Linked DNA regions of Bombyx mori. The main gene of each other region encodes a partner of the protein of the gene in region 2 in a complex. Links are inferred from orthologs where the notes say so. Each region holds a gene or a part of one and is shown on either strand. Other genes may lie near its edges. The genes, in order: histone PARylation factor 1, poly [ADP-ribose] polymerase and protein timeless homolog.

The links.
Region 1: the proteins of poly [ADP-ribose] polymerase (region 2) and histone PARylation factor 1 are in contact, whole or in part, in a crystal structure (PDB 6M3I), measured with the Homo sapiens proteins. The link is inferred for Bombyx mori from reciprocal best matches to the Homo sapiens genes PARP1 and HPF1. Residues at the interface, in NP_001609.2 of Homo sapiens: Thr825, His826, Asn827, Ala828, Arg865, Met890, Lys903, Asn906, Tyr907, His909, Ser911, Gln912, Gly913, His934, Lys953, Ser983, Leu984, Leu985, Tyr986, Glu988, Thr1011, Ser1012, Leu1013, Trp1014; in NP_060337.2 of Homo sapiens: Asn234, Val236, Asp261, Arg264, Leu265, Phe268, Gln272, Glu273, Thr276, Phe277, Gln279, Phe280, Asn282, Asp283, Glu284, Cys285, Tyr287, Tyr304, Lys307, Val308, Gln311, Leu315, Leu319.
Region 3: the proteins of poly [ADP-ribose] polymerase (region 2) and protein timeless homolog are in contact, whole or in part, in a crystal structure (PDB 4XHU), measured with the Homo sapiens proteins. The link is inferred for Bombyx mori from reciprocal best matches to the Homo sapiens genes PARP1 and TIMELESS. Residues at the interface, in NP_001609.2 of Homo sapiens: Gln846, Lys849, Pro850, Phe851, Leu854, Arg878, Ile879, Ala880, Pro882, Asn928, Lys940, Lys943, Gly944, His946, Tyr992, Asp993, Ile994, Ala995, Gln996; in NP_003911.2 of Homo sapiens: Asp1036, Gln1040, Pro1043, Val1045, Pro1046, Leu1047, Thr1048, Glu1049, Glu1052, Glu1053, Glu1056, Ser1074, Gly1075, Gln1076, Glu1077, Thr1078, Phe1079, Arg1081.

The regions. Positions count from the first base shown.
Region 1 is NC_085119.1:13,717,629-13,722,072, reverse strand, and holds the start of histone PARylation factor 1, read right to left. Parts: upstream 2,847-4,444; 5' UTR 2,510-2,846; coding exon 1,931-2,509; intron 611-1,930; coding exon 462-610; intron 1-461. UniProt on the Homo sapiens protein: Cofactor for serine ADP-ribosylation that confers serine specificity on PARP1 and PARP2 and plays a key role in DNA damage response.
Region 2 is NC_085128.1:12,954,231-12,957,883, forward strand, and holds part of poly [ADP-ribose] polymerase, read left to right. Parts: intron 1-211; coding exon 212-434; intron 435-763; coding exon 764-868; intron 869-1,628; coding exon 1,629-1,734; intron 1,735-3,346; coding exon 3,347-3,509; intron 3,510-3,653. UniProt on the Homo sapiens protein: Poly-ADP-ribosyltransferase that mediates poly-ADP-ribosylation of proteins and plays a key role in DNA repair.
Region 3 is NC_085115.1:6,751,039-6,754,691, reverse strand, and holds part of protein timeless homolog, read left to right. Parts: intron 1-577; coding exon 578-751; intron 752-2,949; coding exon 2,950-3,146; intron 3,147-3,653. UniProt on the Homo sapiens protein: Plays an important role in the control of DNA replication, maintenance of replication fork stability, maintenance of genome stability throughout normal DNA replication, DNA repair and in the regulation of the circadian clock.

The DNA.
Region 1 (4,444 bases), on a different chromosome or scaffold from region 2:
GTACAACAGATCAGTTTAAGGTTAAACATCTCAAAAATATCTTTTTTTATTGCTTAGATGGATGGACGAGCTCACAGCCCACCTGGTGTTAAGTGGTTACTGGAGCCCATAGACATCTACAACGTAAATGCGCCACCCACCTTGAGATATAAGCTCTAAGGTCTCAACTATAGTTACAACGGCTGCCCCAGCCTTCAAACTGAAACACATTACTGCTTCACGGCAGAAATAGGCAGGGTGGTGGTATCTACCCGCGCGGACTCACAAGAGGTCCTACCACCAGTTACAGTGGAGAGTTAATAAAGACTTTAGCAGAATCTGGAATCCTTTAAGCCCCCAAAATATATGAGTAATTAATGTTCTTATTCTTTTGCTAAAATTTTATTAAGACTTAAATAAAAAATGAAGTGATAAATAACAAAAAAAATTATGGAATGAAAAAGAAATATTTTGATACTTGCTATACAGCCCCAAAAATATTATCAGCCAATGGTTTAATTTGGCAGTCTTTCGCACTATCATTGCTCGCTAAGAAGACTGGCTCATCGTTTGGGTCATCTCTAAAGTATCCAATGTGATATTCACTTTTACCTTTTATTTTCAAAACAGCCTAAAATTAAAGAAATTATATTATTTCTTCAGTCATCAACAATCTATCTGAAATATTCTATATTTCTGTATTATACATATCTATATGTCGATATTTCTAATCTGATATGTCTTACTGATTCATATGCAGATCTCTAGGAATTGATCACAATGATCCTATTAACTATTTTTTTCCCATCACACCACTGCATTCATCCAATGTGAGTTTCTGGAGATTTTCTGCTAGGTACTATCTGGCTTTGGAATAAACTTCCCTCCTCTGTGTTTCCTGGGCACTATAAGAGGTCTTTCTACAAATAGGGTTTGTGCACTCAATGATAGACCACAGGTTGGTTATACTTCTAGCATTGCAGACTTCCATGAGTGATAATAACCATTTACAATCAAATGCACCATATATCAATAATTTATATGTATACAAAGTGATTTCTGAGATTACTTTGATTCTTTGTTTGTTTTGTTTTGTTTCTTTAAGTTTGATTCTTTAAGTTTTTTTACTGGTGGTAGGACCTCTTGTGAGTCCGCACGGGTAGGTACCACCGCCCCGCCTATTTCTGCCGTGAAGCAGTAATGCATTTCGGTTTGAAGGGTGGGGCAGCCGTTGTAACTATACTATTTATTTATTTATCGTATGGCATTCGTTTACACTGCGTGGTTATAATTGAAATTTATAGTTTGTGATTAGGGTTTTATAATTGACGCAGTGTAGTTGGAACCGGGAGATCCTCAGGAGGACAGTTCGGTTGCCAGGTTGTTGCACTATTAGCACCACCCAGGGGTCACGTGTAGGATAGCGGTGGGTAATCTCCTACGGACGTTATGCAACTTCGACCCCCTATATCTAATCCCCCTATCCCCCTATCTAACTATACTGAGACCTTAGAACTTATATCTCAAGGTGGGTGGCGCATTTACATTGTAGATGTCTATGGGCTCCAGTAACCACTTAACACCAGGTGGGCTGTGAGCTCGTCCACCCATCTAAGCAATAAATAAATAAAAACTTGTATATATTAAATCCTTTTGGATCATATCGACACTTGAAAGGCAAAAGTGACTAAGCAACAATAACTGCTTTGTAGATAAATGAACGGCAATAACCATTTTCGATGTTAAAAAAAAAAAAAACTAGGTCTATTAAAATCATTTCAATCCTACAGCTACTAGCTAGATTCTACTACAGCTGGATTCGTTAAAATAAATTTTTTTTGAGGTATTTCAACTTTAAATTAGTCTCCTGTAAAGTTCACGCATTTTCGCTTAGTCACGTTTGCCTTTCAAGCGTTAATATTGTTTTAAGATATGTTAAGATGTTACTCACCTGAAATTCAGGGGGATCATAGAAAAATCTCCAGTGCACTAAATATAATTCTTTGTCATCTAATTGAGGTAATTTTCCTAACAACAACTCAAAGGGCCCAATCAGTTCTAAATTCACAGATGAACATATTTTAACAATTGCATCATCAGTGTTTAAGCAATCGAAAAATTTGTAGAAATCAGAAGGCATTTTTACCAGAAACAATTCTTTTAGTACTGAATGATCAGAACTGTCATAATAAGTTATGTTTTTAGGGAGCTTCAGTGCGTGGATTGGATTAACCGTGTCAATCTTTACTACTGTACTGCTCTCTGATGTACCAGATCCATTTTCTAATTCGATGTCAGGTTTTTTATCTCCTACTTTATGCTGCTTAGCAGGTTTGTCATCGCTCGAATATGGATTAAAACGTTTTTCTCTGAGCTTTCCGGGATTCTTCTCATTTTTTTTCTCAAAAGCTCCTGCTTGCCCTGGATGTTTGTATTTTTTGTGGTGCTCGGGATTTTTTTGATAACACTTTTCGCCGTATTTGCATACAGTTCTCGAATCTTCAGCATTTGAATTACAAGCTTCTGACATCGCTTCAAATAAATAATTTCCAAAAAGAAAAGAAGTGGTAAATAAGCAGGTATGTTTGTCTGGAGTTCAGATCACAATTTTGTTAGTGCTTTTCATTGATTAATGATAAAGGTGAATCATCTAGGTACAAATATACAAATAATAAGTGTTGAAAGCAAAATAAATAACCATTTATTTTGCACGTTTATGATTTCATATTACCTTTGTGGACTTAATGTTGCGTATGAATTTTAGTTAACTCTGAGGCATTTTGATTTTTTTTATAAACTTTAATACCAGGTTAGCTCATAGCAAACAAATAGCAAAATAAATAACACCATAGACATTTTTCTTCGTTAGTACAATTTTTCCTTGTTAGGAAAGGCAAGGGGATCTAAGCCCATACAGCCTCCACTCACCATAGACAATCAGTGTTCTCGAACGTCATAAAGCGAAATCGGTAGACTTGCCAACTAAAATCGGTATATTTGTACTATTTTGTATCCAAAATCGGTATTTTTCAAAAAATATACAACATTCAATCGAAGTCGTTTATTTATTGAAAAAAAAACAGACTAATTTATAACAATCATATTTAAGAATAATAAATTTTTATACCAATATTGTTTGGCCATAGCTGCAGTCATCGTCGAATTAATTTCAAAATCATAACAATTAGCTGTATTAAAGAGTCGTTTTGCATATAATAGACCAGTGATTTATTCAGTGGACAGCCCATTTCGCTGTTTTGTTTTCAAAAGATTAATATGTGAAAATATGCGTTCAACGTTAGCGGATGAATAGAAAATATTAAGGATGAAATTAGACAACAAAGGAAACATTTGAGTTTCATCGCCACGTTTTAGTAAAGTTACTTCATCCCAAAATAGTTTTACATCATTAGGAAATGTTTTGATTTGTTCACAATTTCTTAAAATGCGCCACTCTATATCAATTTCCTGGAAATCATTGCTGTGAACAATATTGGGAAAGAGCCTTCTCTTAAGAAGTATCGAAGTAGTTTTGCCAATTTTAACATTTTTTGGATCAATAATGTGTAAAAGTGTCAAATCGGTAGAAAAATCGGGAGAATTTCCATGTATACTCTGAAATCGTAGAAAAATCGTTATATTTCGGTATTTCGGTAGAACAGAGCCCATATCAGTAGAAATGCCGAAAAATCGGTAGGTTCGAGACCACTGTAGACAATACTCACACATAGTACATTATCTATGTACCAGGTTGTTTTTCAATTTCTCCAACTGAAAAAGCGAAGGTATCACACCATAATGTTTTGTCTACTCTGTTAAATTTAAGAAAAATTAAATAAAGCGTAATGAGATGAAGATAAGACTCATCATTTGGGATGTAATTAAATGAAATGAGATTGAGATGAGTTGAAATAAAGTTTCAGTAAAATCGTATTTATTTACTAAGACTTTTTCAGCACACTCTTTGGAAAAAGCCGAGAAGATACGTCCAGCGGCTTTGGTTCATTTTCCCTATTAGTGCATTTTCACAGCTTAATAGCTGATAATGCACTCTTATTATACTTTTGCGCCTAAAAAAACAATAAATTTACAAAATAAAACAATGCACACAACTAAGCTCCTCGCGATCGCACCAAAAGTCTACAATTTTCTTGTATTCTAGTATTTTACACAATCTTAGTATAGGTACTTATTATGTAATAACAGCTACTTGTTTCTAGAGCTCTGGTATTCAAAAGTAAAAATCGAAACCCTAGTTAAATAATGTTGTTGGCTGCCTGTCCGACATTTTTTGAGGAACGAGTCGAGCAGCAAATATTAGGATCAACCGCGCAGAGAAACCATACCCAGCGAAAAATACAGCGGTGCTATTTCCGAGGGAAAATTTAACGCTTATTTCCTCCCGTATTAGGAGGAGAAATCTCAGACCCCGGATCACCTCTTCTGACAAACAATACTCTGAGCC
Region 2 (3,653 bases):
GTATTCATTTCCTTTTACAACGTTTTGCTTACCGTTTTTATTTTCTTCGATACGAGCACTCGTCAAGCCTCGGAAAATACTGTCATTAAATTCAAAATTAGGTCACATTGACCAATTTCCACGCGTTCTTTTTCCTTTATAATATTAAAACATTTTAACAGGCCTCTCTAAGTATGCATCAGTGAAAGAAAAATTTATAACTTTTTTTCAGAGTAAAAAAAGAAATCCGTGTGCCGCCTTTGAAAAACTTGAAATTCTTCATTTACGGAACATTGAAGAAGAATGAAAAGGAGAATATCAAGAATCGCATTATCAAGCTCGGAGGAGACCCCGTCAGTAAACTGTCTGAAGCTACGGTCGCAGTCATCTCTACTAAAGCGGATGTCGAGAAAATGTCTTCTAAAATGCAATCCATACAATATCTAGATATTGTAGTAAGTACGAACATTTAAAGTGCTTTTATTGTGCTAACACAATGTATTGCAATAAGGCTAATTCTATATTGAAATCACATCTAAATTCACCCGTTGTTAACATTATCAGCGTATATAACAGGTCATTCAAAAGTTCTGTTTTCGTTTTTACTTTATATTGCAAATATAATTTAACTTTTCAAAATAAACCCAGCAAGCCGGTTCTAGTGGAATATTGAGTGCATGATTTTAGAATATAAAATTAAAAAATCTCTTGACAGTTTTTTATTTCTTCAAAAATTCATGTAAATAATAAAAGTGACTCTGCATAATAACAATTTTATTAACAGGTTCTAGATGAAAGTTTTCTAAATTCGATTGACCCTGAGACCGGAACTGTAGCCAGATCCCTGGAGTTAATGAAAGAATATAATATCGCCGATTGGGGTGTTGATGTGAGTTGGTATTTTTTAATAGAAATTATATTAAAATATAGCTTATGAATCAGCAATAATTCTGTTCTACAAAATAGCCAGAAAGTTACTAAATACGACTTTTTAAATCGTGAAATAGTGTAAATCGGCCATAATTTGCTGTGTATGTATGTACCTAAATACATATATGGAATACACCCATTTGATGAATGAATGACTCTAGTGTCTTGTATGATGTATTATGTAAAAAGTTGCATTGTAATACCAACAATAACAACAAAGTACATATTCTTTTTTATTTTTTTATTCTGAGCTGCTTACCAAATTTAACAAAAGTCTGAACTCAACTTGTAAGGTTTTTTTAATGTCAAAATCATTAACGCGTTAACCGTCGATCTTATATGAATAAACGGTGATGAACCACATAATGTTCTATGGTTTTCGAAATTCAATGTTAAATTTTTAGATTTTAGTGATGCAACAAAATTTAATGGCAATGTAAAAATTGTAGCTAGCAATATCCGTTATACTTTTTTTGATTTTTTTGTTATTGGTCATGTAATCTTAATAAAACAAAAATGGACCGATAAAAATATATGGCGGGGTTGTTCGACAGTGCATTTTCATAATGCAGTTGCTCTCAGTAGACCTTTCAAAAAAATCTCGTAACCTATTCAACAAATATAAAAATGCACAATAATAATTATGAATTTACAGAACATTTACAATATTTTATTACAGCTGTTCTTCATCCAGTAATATTTTTTTGTTTTTTTTTAAGCCTGCCTCTAAGCTGCCCCAAGATATTATTGATGGAAAATCGATACCCAAGAGTAAAAGCATGTATGTCAAGTCTGAAAAATCAGCAGTCAAACTCAAGATCCGCGGTAAATATCATTACATCCAAATCTTTTGCTACGAGAATTCATCATCATCATAAATAAAATCCTTTCAACCGTCACACTTTTATTCCCAAATATAAGGGCAGTGTAAATACGATTCATACATTTTTTTTAAATAATATAGTAAGTAGTCTAGTAGAAGTCATTATCAGAACTATACCATCAATTGTTCACTATCTTTCATCAAACGTAACATCTTTTCTCTACTTACGAGTTTGTGTTTACTTTGTTTGTATAATAGCCGGCAAACTTCTTGAGCATTTGTTGACGTAGTGGGGGTAAGTTTGCGCATGGTACACTCACGTGCAAAAACACTATTTACTCTGCGTCATAATGCAATTAAATTATTAAAATCAACATATATGTATTTTTTTATATATTTATTAGAACATCAACAAAAAATATTGGTTAATGATTGTAATAATTTAATCTTGGGGTAAAATAGATATTCCTTCTATTAAGTCAAAACTAGAGTTGTTGCCAGGTCTTGGTTCAGTTGAAGCGAAGCTGGAATTTGTATATTTTTTTTCGTTATCATAATCTTGACCATCATCATCATCACTGTTTTCATCACCCGAGTCGCCATCATCGTGATGAGTCGACATAGGGCTCATCGGTGTAGTTTACAACTCGGTCGGTTCGATCTTCTTTTTTGTCTATAATTAATTATTTTTTGAAGATATTCGATTCGTAGTAATCGAATGTTACTTTTTTCAATTACCAGCTTTCGATTATTTTCTGTTTTTTTTTCATCTGAAGCCTAGCTCTTTCATAATTCGTCGTAAACTTCATTCCGAGCCATTAAAATGTATATCTTCTTTAAATTTTTCGAAGCCTTTCTACGGTAAGGAGTTTCGCTGCTTGTTATGTAGTTATTATGATTACATCTTTTTATTACAGATTGAACGAAACTATCCATTCCGGTAACTTTCTTCTTCCCTGATCTTTTCTTCCTCGGAGTCCGAAACACGGCGAGCAAGCCAGAGCCTTTAGCTTCGTTAATAATGCACCTAACAGTACTCACTGATGTTTTTGTTGCTTCCGAAGTCTGTTTTACTTTTTCCATATCATTCTTCCCCTGTTTTATAATGAAGCAATATACGTCGTACACAATTTTTCTACCCTTTCTTTTGAATACTACACCAGTTTGTCATTGCATAGTGTATTTTTTTATAAAAAATCAACAAACACTTAACAAATAGCAATGGCAACAAAGTCAACAAGCAATTATAACAAAAAACGTAACGATTAATAACGATAGACTTTTCACTATACGCAAGCGTACTTTTGGGAGCAAGCGGAACGAGGGCGCGGTGCGGGGCGCAAGGTTCGACTGATCTACCAATAACGCGCTCGATACGATTTCTCCTGCCGTCGCGCCTCACCCTCACCACCAAAGTGATCTAAAATTCGGTTCTGCGCAGTCAAGGTCATTTGCTCAAGATGTTTGCCGGTTACTATAACTTTAGTTGTTTTTTTTTTCTATAAGAAAAGTTGAAAAGAAAATTCGATTTTTTCATTCGATTTCGAAGCTTCAGTTTTGTGCGTAATGTATATAAAATGCGTACAAGTTTCAATACATGTTGTGTATGTGCAGACGGCAACGCTGTGGACCCGGCATCGGAACTGGACGAGGAGTGCCACGTGTACACGGACCGCTACAAAACAACGTATTCGGTCGTGCTCTCGCTCACTGATGTTGTCGCTCAGAAGAACTCCTTCTACAAACTGCAGATCTTGAAACATAATAAAGAGAACAGGTAACGAGATTTTTACTGGCGCTAGGACCTCTTGTGAGTCCGCGCGAGTGGGTACCACCACCCTGCCTACTTCTGCCGTGAAGCAGTGATGCGTTTCGGTTTGAAGGGTGGGGCAGCCGTTGTAACTATACTGAGACCTTAGAA
Region 3 (3,653 bases), on a different chromosome or scaffold from region 2:
CAACACTATTCCGTTGTCAAAATGTAATGCACTGATTATTTTCGTGTCAGAGCCCGTTGCTCGTCTTTCCGTTCTCTCATTAGGCGGGTACAGGCTTAAACTTTTTTTTCTGAAGCCTTCCAATAAGTCTCAAATAGACTATTGGAAAGTAAATCCTGCGTGAAATTTGTTCCTTACTTTCCTTATATTTTCTCTATCTTATTATCAACGTAAATGGGATCTTGAAAACGACATGGCGCGTTGCTCTTCAAGTTTTATGACTATTGAGCAATTTAAACATATTTGTTTATGTTAATAAATGGAAAATAAAAACAAACAGAAGGATTTTTGTAATAGTAAATATGCCTTTTACTACTAACTTCCAGGAATATCTGAATAACTATAATAATTTTGATAATAACCAAAATTTAAACAAAACCTTCAAAAACTTGATTTTCCTGAAATTGTAACCGTCGACTTTAATCAAATTTCATCTGTTTTTTTCTTTGGCAATTCTAGCAGCGAAACTTTTCGCGTTATTTAATCTGAAATTTTCAAATAGGACTAAAATTAAATCACTAGAAATATTATGTTTCAGACGATGAATCTTCTAGTTCGGGATCCGAATCGGAGAGCGATACCAAACGCACGTCGTTCCCGTCCAAACAGACGGCACCAAAGCCCCGCAAAACAAAAAATCAGACAAAAGCTAAACGCGTGGAATTGAATGCGAGCCAAGTCGCCAAGTTGTTGGTCAGCGCCGTCGACAACGGTAAGTAGCAAAAACTGATGAAAATTATAATAATAGCCTAATAGTCCGATCGTCCAGTGGCTTGGAACGTCGGCTAGGTAACCACAAACAAGCCACTGAGTTTCTGGTCGGATCTTCTCAGTGGGTCGCGATTCTGATCCGATGGTAGATTCTGCTAAGCACTGCTCTTGCTAGGGCCAGTGTTAGCTCACTCTCTGAGGTTTAATCCGTGAGCGCCCTTACCAGACATAGCGTAGCTGGAATAGCCCCTCAGGCAATCAGCCAATAGGTAGGACAAAAAAATCGACTGCAATAATTAATCACTCAACAAAATTAAAATCACTAACACGAGGCCACTTCACACCCCACCACCAATAAGCGCCTAATGGGCCCATTGACTTTCAAATAATTTGATCAAATTGGCTTGTTCAGAGAGTTTGGCATGGATCATCTAATTGGCATGAATGTCTATTGGAAATTTTGATCAAATTTAATGAGCAATCAAATAGCTTGAAAAAATATGAACTTTCGTATTTTTGTTGGTCCAACAGTTTGATCAAACTCTTTGATTAAAAATTTGAGAGTGTGTGTTCCGAGCGCTCAGTTGATGTTGCGGAAGTGTTCCTGTGCGGATGTGCTGCATTGCATAATGTCGAACCGCGATGTATTAGAAGAATTCATACAAATATATAGAAGTGAATCATGTTTATAGAATATAAAAAATAAACACCTCCATAATAGAGATAAGCGGAATGCTACTTATCGTAAACTAATATTTTTTTTTTAAGAAATATACCCAAGTGCAGACCGTAGCCTAGATTTATCATTAATCATTATATTTAATCAGCTTTAGAGATTTTTAAAGAAGCACAACAACTCTTTGGACGCTTTGATATTGAACTGACGCCGCTTCAAATCTGCGTGGAGGTTTGTGGTTGCTTAGAAGATCATGCCAATTTGATCAAACTATTTGAGCGAGCCAATTTGATCAAATTATTTGAATAGACGTTCTTAAGATTCGCATTTGAAGAACAAATTTCACAACAATAATTTTAATGTTTTGTTACGTTTGTTTCTATTGTCACCAGTGACAGATTTAGGTTTGATGCCGCCCAAGTCCTTGTTTATCGCGCCGCCCTTAATTTTACAACAAAATTTTTATCCAATATTTATATTTTATATTTTAAATAACTTTACTGGTATTCGTCTCTGAAATTTTGGCATTTCAAAAATTTTGCCGCACCTCAAATGATGCCGTCCTAGGGCCGGACCTCACGGACCTAAGCGTAAATCTTTCACTGACTGTCACAGGAGCTTTGTCACGTATATTCATCATACAGTCTTGGTAGTATACAGTTTCGTTAGTGTAACTCTTATAGTCCCAGTTAAAGTCGTTCGTGAACGTGCGTTAGTTACAGAATTAATTTGGAAAGCCGATACCTGCCCCAGGACCGAACAAAAACTTTCGATCCTCCTAAAATAATCAAACTTAATACGTTATTGATATAACATTCGTTAGTTTGTTTGTGTTCCCACATGTTTCGTCCGTTCTGATAATTGTAAATCGTGGGTACTCGCATCAAAAGTTTTTTTTATACCCTACCCTTTTTTTTTTTCGGGCCTAGGGCCGAACCTCCTACGAGGTCCCCGCGCCTAGGGGGCGCGCGGGGTATGTGAGACTCAACGATCTGCAGATGTTGAGAGCAGACCGCGAACCCTTCGAATTAACCCATAGACACAGCCCACTGAGTTTCTCGCCGGATCTTCTCAGTGGGTTGTGTTTCCGATCCGGTGGTAGATTCTGCGAAGCACTGCTCTTGCTAGGGCCGGTGTTAGCATCACTCCGGCTTAAGCCCCGTGAGCTCTACTAGTTAAAGTTCCGCTGAAATAGCCTCTCAAAGCTATCAGCTTAGGTAGGAAAAAAAAAAGAATCTACTGCCGGTTCGGAATCTACCCATTGAGTAGATCCGGCAAGAAACTCAGCGAGTTGTGAATAAAGTTTCTAACTTCTTCTAACTAACTTGTAACTATACTGAGACCTTAGAACTCATATCTCAAGGTGGGTGGCGGCATTTACGTTGTAGATGTCTATGGGCTCCGGTAACCACTTAACGCCCGGTGGCTGTGAGCTCGTCCACACCAATCTATGCAATAAAAAAGTGCCACAATACTATTTCATTTCTTTAATGACAATATCGAAAAATTAAATTCCTCTGTAGGATTATCCGGAGCATTAAAATGGCTGGCGGAAAATCTAGAAGAACTAGCCCTGGACCAAGAAGCGGAGGGCTACGATCCGAACTCTGAAGGCACACCGCTGGTGCCCATAACCGATGAGTCAACCGAAGCCATGGACAAAGAACTTTTCAAACAAGTACTGCTGGGGATCGGTGTGGTCCCGCCTAATGATGAACAGGTATTTTGAAATACTTTTCGAATAAATCTAGCGTTTGCATGAGGTGGAGATGCGAATGTTGAGAAGCATGTAAGGAGTGACAAGAGTGGATAAGATAAGGAATGAGTATATCAGAGGAAGTGTGAAAGTAGCCACGGTAAGCAACAAATTAAAGAGCCGACGGTTAGCGTGGTATGGACATGTGAAGCGTAGACAGAAGATGCATGTGACTAGGAGATGTATGGAAATGATAGTGCAAGGTAGAGGGGAAGAGGATGGAGTGTGTGAATGACGACATGAAAGGGAGAGAGAGAGAGAGAGAGAGAGAAGAGTGAGTGTTGAGATGACGGCTGATAGAAGAGAATGTAATAGAAAAATTCGCTGTGCCGACCCCATCTAGTGGGATAAGATGGAGAAAAAGGAAGTTTATTTCGTACACATCATAATTTATGCTATTTCGAATACTCTTCGTTTTCACGGATAATTGTGGTACAAAATCTCTGTTAAATTGTAACAGAAGTGTGTCTG